Drosophila melanogaster: one gene and its partner. The gene in region 1 interacts genetically with each later gene. Each region holds a gene or a part of one and is shown on either strand. Other genes may lie near its edges.

Region 1 (6,889 bases):
GTACATCAGGGAATCGAAGGAGAAACCAAAAAAAAAAAAACCAATGTTCGGATGGACAACTCTTTTGGGGCTAGGCCAAAGGTCGAACAAGGTCACGGCCAACGATTACCGCATGAACATTGGCGTGAATATTTCGGATTTTTCCCCTTTGATCTGCAGTCAAGCTTTTCTCCCAGAATTAACAACTCTTGATTGCGTTTCTGTTTTTAGTTTTTCGCATTTCCCCACAATTTCTAAACTTTATGCGGCATTCGCACGCAGCTCTTGCTTTTGTTTTGCTCATGATGTTTGGACATAAAACTTATTATAATTTATTAATTACCAGCAGCGTTTGGCTTTGATAAAAGAAACACAATTTCGGTAATGGCCAACGGGCACGCAATCTAGCTGCTAGCTCTTTGTAGCTCCGCAAAGAAACGAGAAATAATTCATAAAATAAAAGATATACTTCTTTTACTGCCTTTTGCTTTGACATTATTCATGGCTTTCTCTCCCCTTTTTGTTGGCCTTTCAAATGGGTCAAGTGTGAATGACTATATTTCTGTGTGGAAATTGTGGGAGTCCCAGGAAATTAAAATGGAAAAGCATTTTGGTATTTAATTAAAGAAGATGTATCACAGAATGATTCGAAATATAAGTTAAATGGCTTTTTACTTTACTTCTGCTAAAGTGTAACTGAATACATTCCAGTTGAATTCAAATAATTATAGCTAGAAAGTTTCATGATTTACAACCCACCACCAACTTTTGTGTAAATTTACTTTAAGCACCGAGAATTCCTTTGAACGTAATTGGCTTGCATTGTTACTATCAGCTGTCTAGTTTGTCTGTTGTGGAGATTAGACCCGTCTGAACTATGCCCGGCTGCTACAGTTAACGTTTACGACCGCATTCTGACGCTTATTGCAATTAATGATTCGATGTTTACGGGTATAACTGCCCCGGGGGTCTGGCTGCAAATAAGTGAGTAAGTGGTCATGCTCGAATATCTTTTTGAGAAAACATCACGTAGGTTTTGGGTGCCGCAGGGTAACCATCCGCGTATCGCAATAAGCCAAGTCACCGACGGAAACTAATTAAAAGAATTCCGTGTACTGTCCCGGGCAGAACAATTGACGGACGAGCTGAAATGCCTTTTGTCTCATAATCAACTTTCTGGCACTCACTCACTTGCTCTCCCTAAAACAAGCAAAAACATTCCGCTGAAAGCAATCAATCAATCAAGCCACTCAAGTCCATCAATCTCCAGCTAAAGTCAAAACAAAAACAAACCTGCAATACCCTTGCCCTGAATACCCTTCGCTTTCGCCAGTGAATCGTTACCAAAGAAAGTAGGGAATACAGTCAATAGATTAATATCCCGTACAGCAAATATGGTGAGAAATAGAAATAGCCTTCTGTGTGCATTTGCAGATTGATATATGGCATAATAAATTAGGAACTCGCCTTTTCCCGTATATCTCTGTAAGTCAATAGTAATTCCTCTTCATAAACCATTCTAAAGGTAGGCAGTAGAACAATTATAATATGCACTTTCTAAATAAAATAAAGTATATAGTAATAGCCTAATGTTTATATTGTGGTTATTTACTAAAAATCTCAAGTCGTGTTATCAGTATGATTAGGCGTGAATAAGAATGTTGTTATTAGTAATAAATAAAGTGAATGAATTATGAAGTAAACAAATTTTGAAACCTAGACCTACGGTTCGGAATGTGAAATTGTATTTGTTTTTCTTTGCTGAGTAAACCAACTGAGTTTTCTAGGCTTGACTAAATTTCGCTGTTCAAAGGGTTCTAACTCACAATATATTTTTCAAAACCCTCAACATTTTTAAATTCAATTATTATATACTTACGCTGATGTAAATTGTTGTGTGTGGTGAGAAATCCAATGTTGGCAATAGTATGGATGTGGAGTATATACGGATAGATATTCAGACGAAGATGTGGCTGTAGTTTTTGTGTTGTGGGAGGGGCTGTTACAGTTGTTGTAGTTGTAAGTAGTAGACATATAGACAAGACGACGACAACGACGATGAGGACGTGGTCCGCGATGCCACGGCGGTGGCAACAGCAGGAGCAGTTGCAGATACAATCGCAGTAGCGGATACAATTGCAGTTGCAGGCGCCTGCAGAACGAGGGGATTGGGCTGACTGGCGAAGAGCTCCTCTAGAATTCAGCAAACTCCTTGGCACACTTCTCGGTGCTGGAGATCCGCAGCGCCTCCTCCTCGTAGTCATCGAAATTGCTCGTGTCGCCGGGACCCTTACACCGCGGAATGAACGGCGCCTCGATTTTCTTTTGGAAGATCGCAATCCAGTCGGTGGAGGCGAACCACTTCTGGTTCTTAATATCATTGACGCCCGCCTTCAGATTGCCGTAGCGCTTGGTCAGATCCACCTGCAGCAGGTTGCGCAGTAGGTCCTTCAGATCGGAGCCAAAGTGCGATGGGAAGCGCACCTTGCCGGAGACGATCTTCTCGTAGATCTGAATCGGCTGATCCGCAAAGAACGGCGGATAGCCGGCGGCCATTTCGTAGACGAGTACGCCCAACGCCCACCAGTCCACGGCCTTGTTATAGCCCTTGGACAGAATGATCTCCGGGGCCAGGTATTCGGGCGTGCCGCACAGTGTCCAGGTGCGTCCCTTGACCCGCTTGGCAAAACCGAAGTCCGTCACCTTGAGGTAGCCCTGCGAGTCAATCAGCAGATTCTCCGGCTTCAGATCACGGTAGATGAGGTCCAAGTAGTGCAGGTACTCGAAGGCCAGCACGATTTGCGCCGCGTAGAAGCGCGAGTGCGGCTCCGAGAAGCGGCCCACCTTGCGCAGGTGGGAGAACATCTCGCCACCGGGAACATACTCCAGCACCATGTAAAGGTTGGAGTTGTCCTTGAAGTGGTAGCGCAGCGAGACGAGGAAGGGGAACTGAATGGCCTGCAGGATTCGCTTCTCGTTCAGCGTGTGCTCCACCTGCTTCAGCTTGACCACCTTCTGCTTGTCGAGGATCTTCATGGCATAATAGTCTTTCGTGGGCTTGTGCTGGACGATCATGACACGGCCAAAGGAGCCGGTGCCCAGGGTCTTGATCCGTTCGAAGTCATCGAGGGCGGCGGTGTTGGTCGGATTGCGTCGCCACTTGTCCTCGAACTCCTCCTTGGCCTGCTCGAGGAACTCCTTCACCGTCTCGGCGGCATCGACCTTCTTATTCGACGTGGTGGCGTTGTTGCCCATCTTGGAGATGGTGCCCGTTAGCGATGACAAACGGAAGGTTGCGCTGGCCGACACTTGGGCCTGATCGTCGCCGGAGGTGCTAGGTCCTCCTCCCCCTCCTCCTGTTCCTCCGCTGGCTCCTCCTGAATCCGCCCCTGAACCGGGCGTGGTCGTGGCGGCAGGGGGCGTGCTCTTGTGGGCGGCGGCTGCTGACGAGGGGCCGCTGCTGCTGCTGCTAGCCTGGTCCGCTGGAGGTCCCGCTGCCGCTCCCGCTCCTCCCGCTGCCGCTCCGCCCTCCTCCTCGCAACTGGACTGCGCCTGTAGCTTGCCCTCGCCGGATGTGGAACTATGATGGGACTTTTTCTTTTTGAGGAACTGCAAAATGGACTTAGCTATTTTGCCGAGTTACGGGTCAACGGTGCGGATGAAATAGTTGCTCCTTATGGGCCAAAGAGAGCTTCTCACTGGAGCTCTCTCACTCTCTTATTCGCTGAATATCCTTTTAAATTGGTGTTTAGGTTGCGTTTTAAAGGCGCTTGGTTAAGACGCGTTTAAGTTATGGTTTTAGCACGTATTGGTTTCTTTAATTTGTGAGGTCTTAAACTAGTTATACACTTTAGGCTTAGACTAACATTTGGTTTCACACTTTAAGGTTGCTTATGATCGCGATTTACTCTAATTTGAGAAGCTGCAAAGAGAGACGGGAGAGAAAACGGCACAAATTAGCGGGATATTCGGTAAGGGGCTAAAAATAAGAGTCCAGTTTTCCGAGTTCTTTATGCACACATATAGATTATATTTTAAGTTTCTTATGTATTTTCGCTCTTTCGCATTTTTCACTTCATATTGTTTTTGTTCTCAGCGCTTTGCTGGCACTTTTATGGAGCTTAATAAAAAGCTGGTTATAATCACTGAATAAATAAGCTTAACAAAATCGCACACAAACTCGAAATTCAGAAAATAATAAAAAGAAGAGAACAGAGGAATGGCAAAGAGAGCGAGAGGAGGCGACTTTCGATCGTGTCAAGTGTCAAACAGCTGATGCCGTAGTGCCAGCTCACTCCCACTCACGCACTGTTACGCAGTGCTGCTTCCTTTTCCTCGCGCATTCCCTCTCATTTTCGCCTATTTTAATTATTAAATACTTTTTTGGCACCGTTTTGCTTTGGCTTCTGTTTTTTCATTTCCTTTGCTTTTGCTTCTTTGCGTTCACTGGTGTGCGTGTGTGTATGTGTGCGAGTTGATGTGCATATGTATGCGCTTCTGGTTTTACTTCTGCGATCTCTCTTCAGCGCTCTCTTCGCAGGCACTTTTCCACATTTCGCACACTTTAAATTAGTTAAATTGGCCTTTATTGCTCGGTGTGCTAAATTTTCGCCATTCGATTTGGGCATAAAAAAATCCCGTGGTTTAAACAAACACTATCGTACACGCATACACACTCAGCGCTCACCTAACACACACACACCAACATACACATACACAGATTGAATAATCGATTTTTTACATTCATTTCCTTTTTCTGAGTTTGTTTGACTTTGCTTTTCCATTTTCGCTGCGCGAAATTACCTTTTTGAAATTTACGACTACGATGCCAGCGATTTGTAAACACTTTCAGAAATATTGCCTCGACTTTCCGATCGATTTGATGCACTGTAGCTGTGGATTGATGGCTTAGATTAAAAATACCCGCATAGCCGCCGAACCGAGTTTTCCCGACCAAATCGTTCAAAGTTTTTTTTTCGACTGACGCGACTCGCGGATGCGCCCCAGCACGCAGGTGTGAGTAGGCCAGCGATAGGCAGCTCGCTCAGCGTGAACCGTGCGGCGCAATCATGAGTAATCCCTACTGCGCGGGTTCTATTCCGTCTGAAAATCTAAATGATCGGAAATAGCTAGCGGTTATCCAAAATTTTAATAAATAATTATAATAATATATAATTCGTAAGCTGTAAGGATTATTTTATTGTTATGTTTAAAGAGTTCTAAGCTGCATGAAAGATATAATTTTTAATAAAAATAGAGCACTTGTTTAATGAAACGTTGTATTATGAAGTAAGTTTAGATTCGATTTTACGAAATATTTTTAAATGGATTTCCTTTTTTATTTTATGAAATTCTATTTGGGAATTCCCTTAAATTATCAAAAGTATATTTAAGCTAGGGCTGCAGAGAACACAATTTCCGTTACGATTAGTATTGCCTAGATGGCAGTATGACCAGTCTTATTTGGTATTTCCGAACCACCTGCGAACGGTTTTCTAACGCTAACGCACGTGTTTGAAAGCGATTTCAATTGTTCTGCAATTGCCCTCAGTGAAGCAGCAAGCGGAGAGGTTGCATTTTAAAGCACTTTTTTCCAGTAAAAGTATACAATAAACAAGCCAATATGGTGAGTGCATCCACGTTAGCATCGAGAGATGTAAATTTCAACAAGTATCCCAATCTTTGCAGACTGAGGAAGTTAATCCCAAGGCATTCCCGCTGGCCGATGCCCAGCTTACCGCCAAGATCATGAACTTGCTGCAGCAAGCATTGAACTACAATCAACTGCGCAAGGGAGCCAACGAGGCCACCAAGACCCTCAATCGCGGACTGGCCGATATTGTGGTGCTGGCCGGTGATGCGGAGCCCATCGAGATTCTGCTCCATTTGCCGCTCCTGTGCGAGGACAAGAACGTGCCCTACGTCTTCGTTCGTTCCAAGCAGGCCTTGGGGCGTGCGTGCGGAGTTTCCCGGCCAATAGTCGCCTGCTCTGTGACCACCAACGAGGGCAGCCAGCTCAAGTCGCAGATCACCTCCATTCAGCAGGAGATCGAGCGACTGCTAGTCTAGTAACCCTTTAGATTTAAGTGAACATTCGTACAAAGTGGTAATTTCAAATTGAAATTTTGAATAAACATGTGTATTCTTTAATGCAATTGTTGTTTCCAACGCACATGGTTGGCTTGGAGTGCCCAATTTTTGGACACCGGATACCAATGCCGAAAAATACCAGAAAATACTAAACCAAAGGGGTCAGCTGGTATAGCCGGCAAAGTGCTGGCAAATAAATAAGCTAGTTTAATATAAGCTTATTTCATATAAATTATTGAACCAGACCAAAATGTACATGTGCATGTAGAATATTTATTTATAACTATAAGTTATTTATTCATAGAAATAGAAAAAAATCTGAATGGTAGCTTATGCAAACTACTTTAAGAAAGCCAATCCTGGCGGCAAAATAGCCAGTCGCACATCACCGTTCGCCCCTGGTGAATGTCACTTGGCCGCCGATTCTACTGACCACCACCATTGCCACACCATCCTGCCGATTCGATCAGCGGTGTGAACTTAGCAACTGCGTGAACCCAATGACAACGATGCACCGCCGCCTTTGTGAACGGAGGGAATTACTGGAATCTGGGTGCAAGTGACAAGCGGCTAGAGGAATCAAAGCACTCGGTATAAAGGCAGTGCCTGCCGACGAAACAAATACCAAATCCTGACCAGCAACGAGACGGGATGAAGCTGCTGGGCAAATACGTGGACAAGGGCATGCAGGGGTGAGTGAATATCCCCAGAGTCTTAAACTATTTTCGTTATGCCTCGAAAATTCTTTTAGAAATGTGACCCTGGTGCCGGAGGAGTCCGAGGATATGTGGCACGCCTACAATTTGATTGCGAAAGGCGA
Region 2 (4,442 bases), on another chromosome or scaffold:
GGGAATCAGTGGTCGGGTGGAGACCTCTCGAGCGAGCACACAACCGAACGCTTGCGTCGTCGGCGGCGGAATGAAGAAAACTGAATTATTTTCCACGAGCTGTTTTTGCGAAAAATCGCTCGCTCACTTGATGAGGGGCGCCTAATCGGAGAAGCAGAGCAACTGTTCTCTGCGGTAAACAAAAATTCACCTAGGCAACGCTCAGACAAGCGATGCGTCAAGGGTTTCCCATCAGCCAGGCTGATGATGCAGCTGCTCCAGGTCCAGTTCCTCGCGCAATCACATGATCCCGGGCGGGATTTTGTGTTCAAATTGAATGCTCTTCTAATTGATCAATTCCCAGAATTAGAAACTGAAGCATTCGGCGGTCCACTGCGCAATACCATCAATTGGTGGTTAGTCGGTGGCGATGACTTCCACCGCCTGCAAGTGGCCATATCCGCCGCAGCCACCAAAGCGAACTGTTCCAGTGCTCAATAGCCTGACCCCAACTTGACTCATCCGGCGAATTGTTCGCCGCTCCTGGCGCCGGCGCTTCCTCTTTTCATATTGCGATCAAAGGCCCGTCGAGTGGTTTCGGGTATATGTATGTGTTTGTATATTTTGACTGGACTCCGGCGAGGAGCAAAGGCCACGTGCATTGTGTTAGATGAGATGTATAAATGTAAAACTTACTCGTTAGTGGAAGATTCAATTCGATTAATTTAAATAACTACTAGCTAACCAATGGACACCATCACATTTTCAGAGGAGCAGCGTCGAGCGACATGGGCAGCACAGGTTCCGGCTGGTCGATGATCAGCTTCAGATTCTTGTCGGGCCACTCGAGCTCCAGTCGCTCCTTGGGCTCGCATTTCTCGTCTAGGCCCGCGCTGCGGAAGTCTTCCATCAGGCGCGGCACCAGTTCATCGGGAATCAGGACCTGAATCCAGTAGCCCAGCACGCCGTACGGTTCGTTCACTGTCACCGCCGAGCCGGTGACGGATTCCGCCACCAAAGTGAGCGCCAGATGCTGAGCCTTGAAGGTGAAGTGGCGCCCATGTCGGATGCGATCCTTGATGGCCAGTAGGAGGTACTTGGCCACACCAGGTGCGAGGGTAATCTCAATACCGTCCAGTGAAATGCAGTTTGGTGCCTGCGCTTGAAAGTCCAGGGGACAGGACTTGTGCAGCGAATTGCTGCTCATCGACATGGATTGTGGAAAGCTTGGTTCCTCGCGTTTCATTTGCGTATCCGTCAGCTGCCGATTGTTTTCGTCGTTGGCGCACTTCTCGCTCAGCGCCTGGAAATCCACCTCCTCCTTCACCTCCTTGGTAGGTTTCAGCTCACGGAACGTAAAATCTGCATTAACGCCGGCCAGATCGGAACCCTGCTTCTCCAGATCGTCCTGTAGGTTTAGCAGCGTTTCGGGAAACAGTTCGAAGACGCTCATCTGGCGATCCATGTTAGTCACCAGCCAATCACCGCCAGTTTGCATATCTTGGCGAAGGAAGTTGAGCACACCGCGCCCGTTCCAACGCGATGCCTGCTCAAGTTCGTCGTCAAAGACGCCGACGATCTGGCAGAAGTCCACCGTGCCCGTGGGAGTGTCGATGCAGCCCAACTGCGGGTCCTGGGCGACGAGCAGGTTCTGTAGCTTGGAAGTGGTACTGCCATCCAGACTCTTGCGCCACGGGATGTTGTCTCCGAAGCACAACCCGTTGCCTGTTTGAAAACAATAGCGTCCGATGGCCTGCAACAGGTTCGCCGGCCAGGTGGGCGGTCTTTGGGGCTTTTCCGGGTTCTCAATCTGCTGCTTTAGCTCTATTTCTGTTTTGGCCAAGCGAAAGGTCAACTCGAACCCCATGCCAGACCGAGTGACGCCCTCCTCGCGCAAGTGGACTCGCTCGTCCCCGTGTAGGTCGCTGAGTCCGAAACTAATGTAGTGCCAGTGCGGCGGAACGTTCCTATCCACATCTCCGGGATAGTTGTACATGCTAATGTAGTCCAACGGATCCTGACCGCCCAGCCAGTACTTGAGCAGTGTGGTCACCTGCAGCGGGTTCGGCTGGTTGGGGTACACCTGCCCGAGGTGGTCTATGATGGCCTTAAGGCCCGGCGGAGGCTTCACCTCAGGTTTTTTGTCCAAATTCGCCTCGGCCATTTCATCCAGTTTGATCAGTATGACCTCAGTTGGAACGTTGCGGAATACCACCGCTTGAATATACCATGAATAAAAATACTGCCATGTAAAGTGCGGATTTGACAATGGAAACTTACATGAGTTTCTTTTAAAACCATTATTTATTTTTAAAACCTTTTTTATAATAATTATTACTTTCTTACTTTTTTCTGCTTATTTTTAAAATGTAGAGAAAAACAGTGAAAATATATATCCATATAGCTTTAAACCACCACCATGTAAAATATTGAGTATTTCTTGCCGTGGTATATTTTTACATGCTGTTTATTTCTGCCAACCACCTACGGTCACCCTGTTGACCAACTATTTAATAGAAAATTTGCAAATTTTGATAAACGCACAAAATGGAGCCTTATGATGTCGTCGTCAACCAGCCCGTCGTCATAGATAACGTAAGTGGAGATGGGGCTCATTAAATGCGGGTAGCTTTGTGCAAATCTAGGGTTCCCAAAGTTTTAGCCAGCAAACAGTGACATCACCTACCGCCCGTCCCTTTGTCAACGAGCTTTCAAGCCGTCTTCAAATGGCCAACATGACTAATCCCAGAGAGAATAGCTCCGCAAACGCCAGAGATGGTTCAATTCGGAAGTGAAGACAGCGAAAACGGGGAATTTGGTCTATAAAGCTTGCGTGGAATCCCTTTATCTGCCCAGCACACGCACACACGGATATCTGCGGGCGGTGGCTGCATCCCTGCTGTTGCGTCCCTGCATCTGGAAGCCTCTGTCGAAGTCCATTTGGTGCCCGTACTCCATTGGGTAAACCACGGGAATAGACTCCACATGGGAGGCAGCGGGTCGCTTTAAGCGCTCCAGTTCGGGATCTATCTTCACACCACACTTGCCCCTGTATGTGCTGAACATCTTGGGGCGCAGCAGCTTGTTGTAGGGATCGCGGAATTGATCTCGGTACTTCTGGCACTCCAAATAGAAGGAGTCCACCTTGTACAAGCTGCCGTAGCTGATGTTGGTCAGTCCAACTGGCGGTGCGAACTTTAGTAGCGATTCCCGTTCGTATTGCGAATTCTTTGACACGGTCATCATGTCCACTTCCGGCACACTAAAGGATTCCATGTTGACTATATAGATTTCCTGTTTGCACGTTGAATTTTAAATAAAATAAGCTGACGCAACTAACTAAATGTATTCCACATCACTTTTGACAGGGCTCCGGTGTGATCAAAGCCGGCTTTGCTGGTGAGCACATTCCAAAATGCAGGTTTCCCAATTAGTAAGTGCCGTGGACCACTCACGAACCTTAAGAACCCCTAGAACTAATGCCTTCTCCTGCAGCATTGGCCGGCCCAAGCATGTCCGAGTGATGGCTGGTGCGCTGGAGGGCGACATATTCGTTGGACCCAAGGCGGAGGAGCACCGTGGCCTGCTTAGCATCCGGTACCCCATGGAGCACGGCATTGTCACCGACTGGAATGACATGGAGCGGATATGGAGCTACATTTACAGCAAAGTAATTTGTCCATAAATGTTCCATAATCTTAACTAAATGTTTTAAATGGCATTGACCAGGAACAACTGGCCACCTTCACGGAGGATCATCCCGTGCTGCTGACCGAGGCCCCGCTTAATCCGCGCCGAAACCGCGAAAAGGCAGCCGAGTTCTTCTTTGAAGGCATCAATGCACCTGCGCTCTTTGTGTCCATGCAGGCGGTGCTCAGTCTGTAAGCATTGCAATCTCACGAACTGCCCCTATCGATTTCATTTAACCACACTCTTGCAGCTACGCCACCGGTCGTGTGACTGGCGTAGTGCTCGACTCCGGCGACGGTGTGACGCATGCGGTTCCTATCTACGAGGGATTCGCCATGCCTCACAGTATTATGCGCGTGGACATCGCCGGGCGCGATGTGACGCGCTACCTGAAGACACTCATCCGCCGGGAGGGCTTTAACTTCCGGTCGACTGCCGAATTTGAGATTGTGCGCTCCATCAAGGAGAAGGTCTGCTATCTGGCCACCAATCCGCAGAAGGAGGAGACCGTGGAAACCGAGAAGTTTGCCTACAAGCTGCCCGACGGCAAGATCTTTGAGATTGGACCTGCACGCTTCAGGGCGCCGGAGGTGCTCTTCCGGCCCGATCTGCTGGGCGAGGAATGTGAGGGCATTCACGACGTTCTGATGTACTCCATCGAGAAGTCAGATATGGATCTCAGGAAAATGCTCTACCAGAACATCGTGCTGTCCGGCGGATCAACGCTCTTCAAAGGATTCGGCGACCGTCTGTTGTCCGAACTGAAGAAACAC

The links.
Region 2: of Pka-C1 (region 1) and Su(fu), changing one enhances a phenotype caused by changing the other (phenotypic enhancement), as found in Drosophila melanogaster (2 studies listed by BioGRID).

The regions. Positions count from the first base shown.
Region 1 is NT_033779.5:9,694,333-9,701,221, forward strand, and holds the start of Pka-C1 (protein kinase, cAMP-dependent, catalytic subunit 1), read right to left. Parts: upstream 4,966-6,889; 5' UTR 4,783-4,965; exon of another isoform or gene 4,370-4,782; intron 4,100-4,369; 5' UTR 3,235-4,099; coding exon 2,173-3,234; 3' UTR 1,859-2,172; intron 1-1,858. Other genes in the region: hoip (hoi-polloi), read left to right, coding at 5,603-5,605, 5,668-6,048; pelo (pelota), read left to right, coding at 6,721-6,761, 6,821-6,889. UniProt on the Drosophila melanogaster protein: Serine/threonine-protein kinase involved in memory formation. Promotes long-term memory by phosphorylating meng and by regulating CrebB protein stability and activity.
Region 2 is NT_033777.3:12,689,296-12,693,737, forward strand, and holds Su(fu) (suppressor of fused), read right to left. Parts: upstream 2,174-4,442; 5' UTR 2,144-2,173; coding exon 737-2,143; 3' UTR 578-736; downstream 1-577. Other genes in the region: Arp1 (Actin-related protein 1), read left to right, coding at 2,527-2,574, 3,348-3,412, 3,475-3,649, 3,709-3,860, 3,920-4,442; CG31347 (uncharacterized protein), read right to left, coding at 2,824-3,255.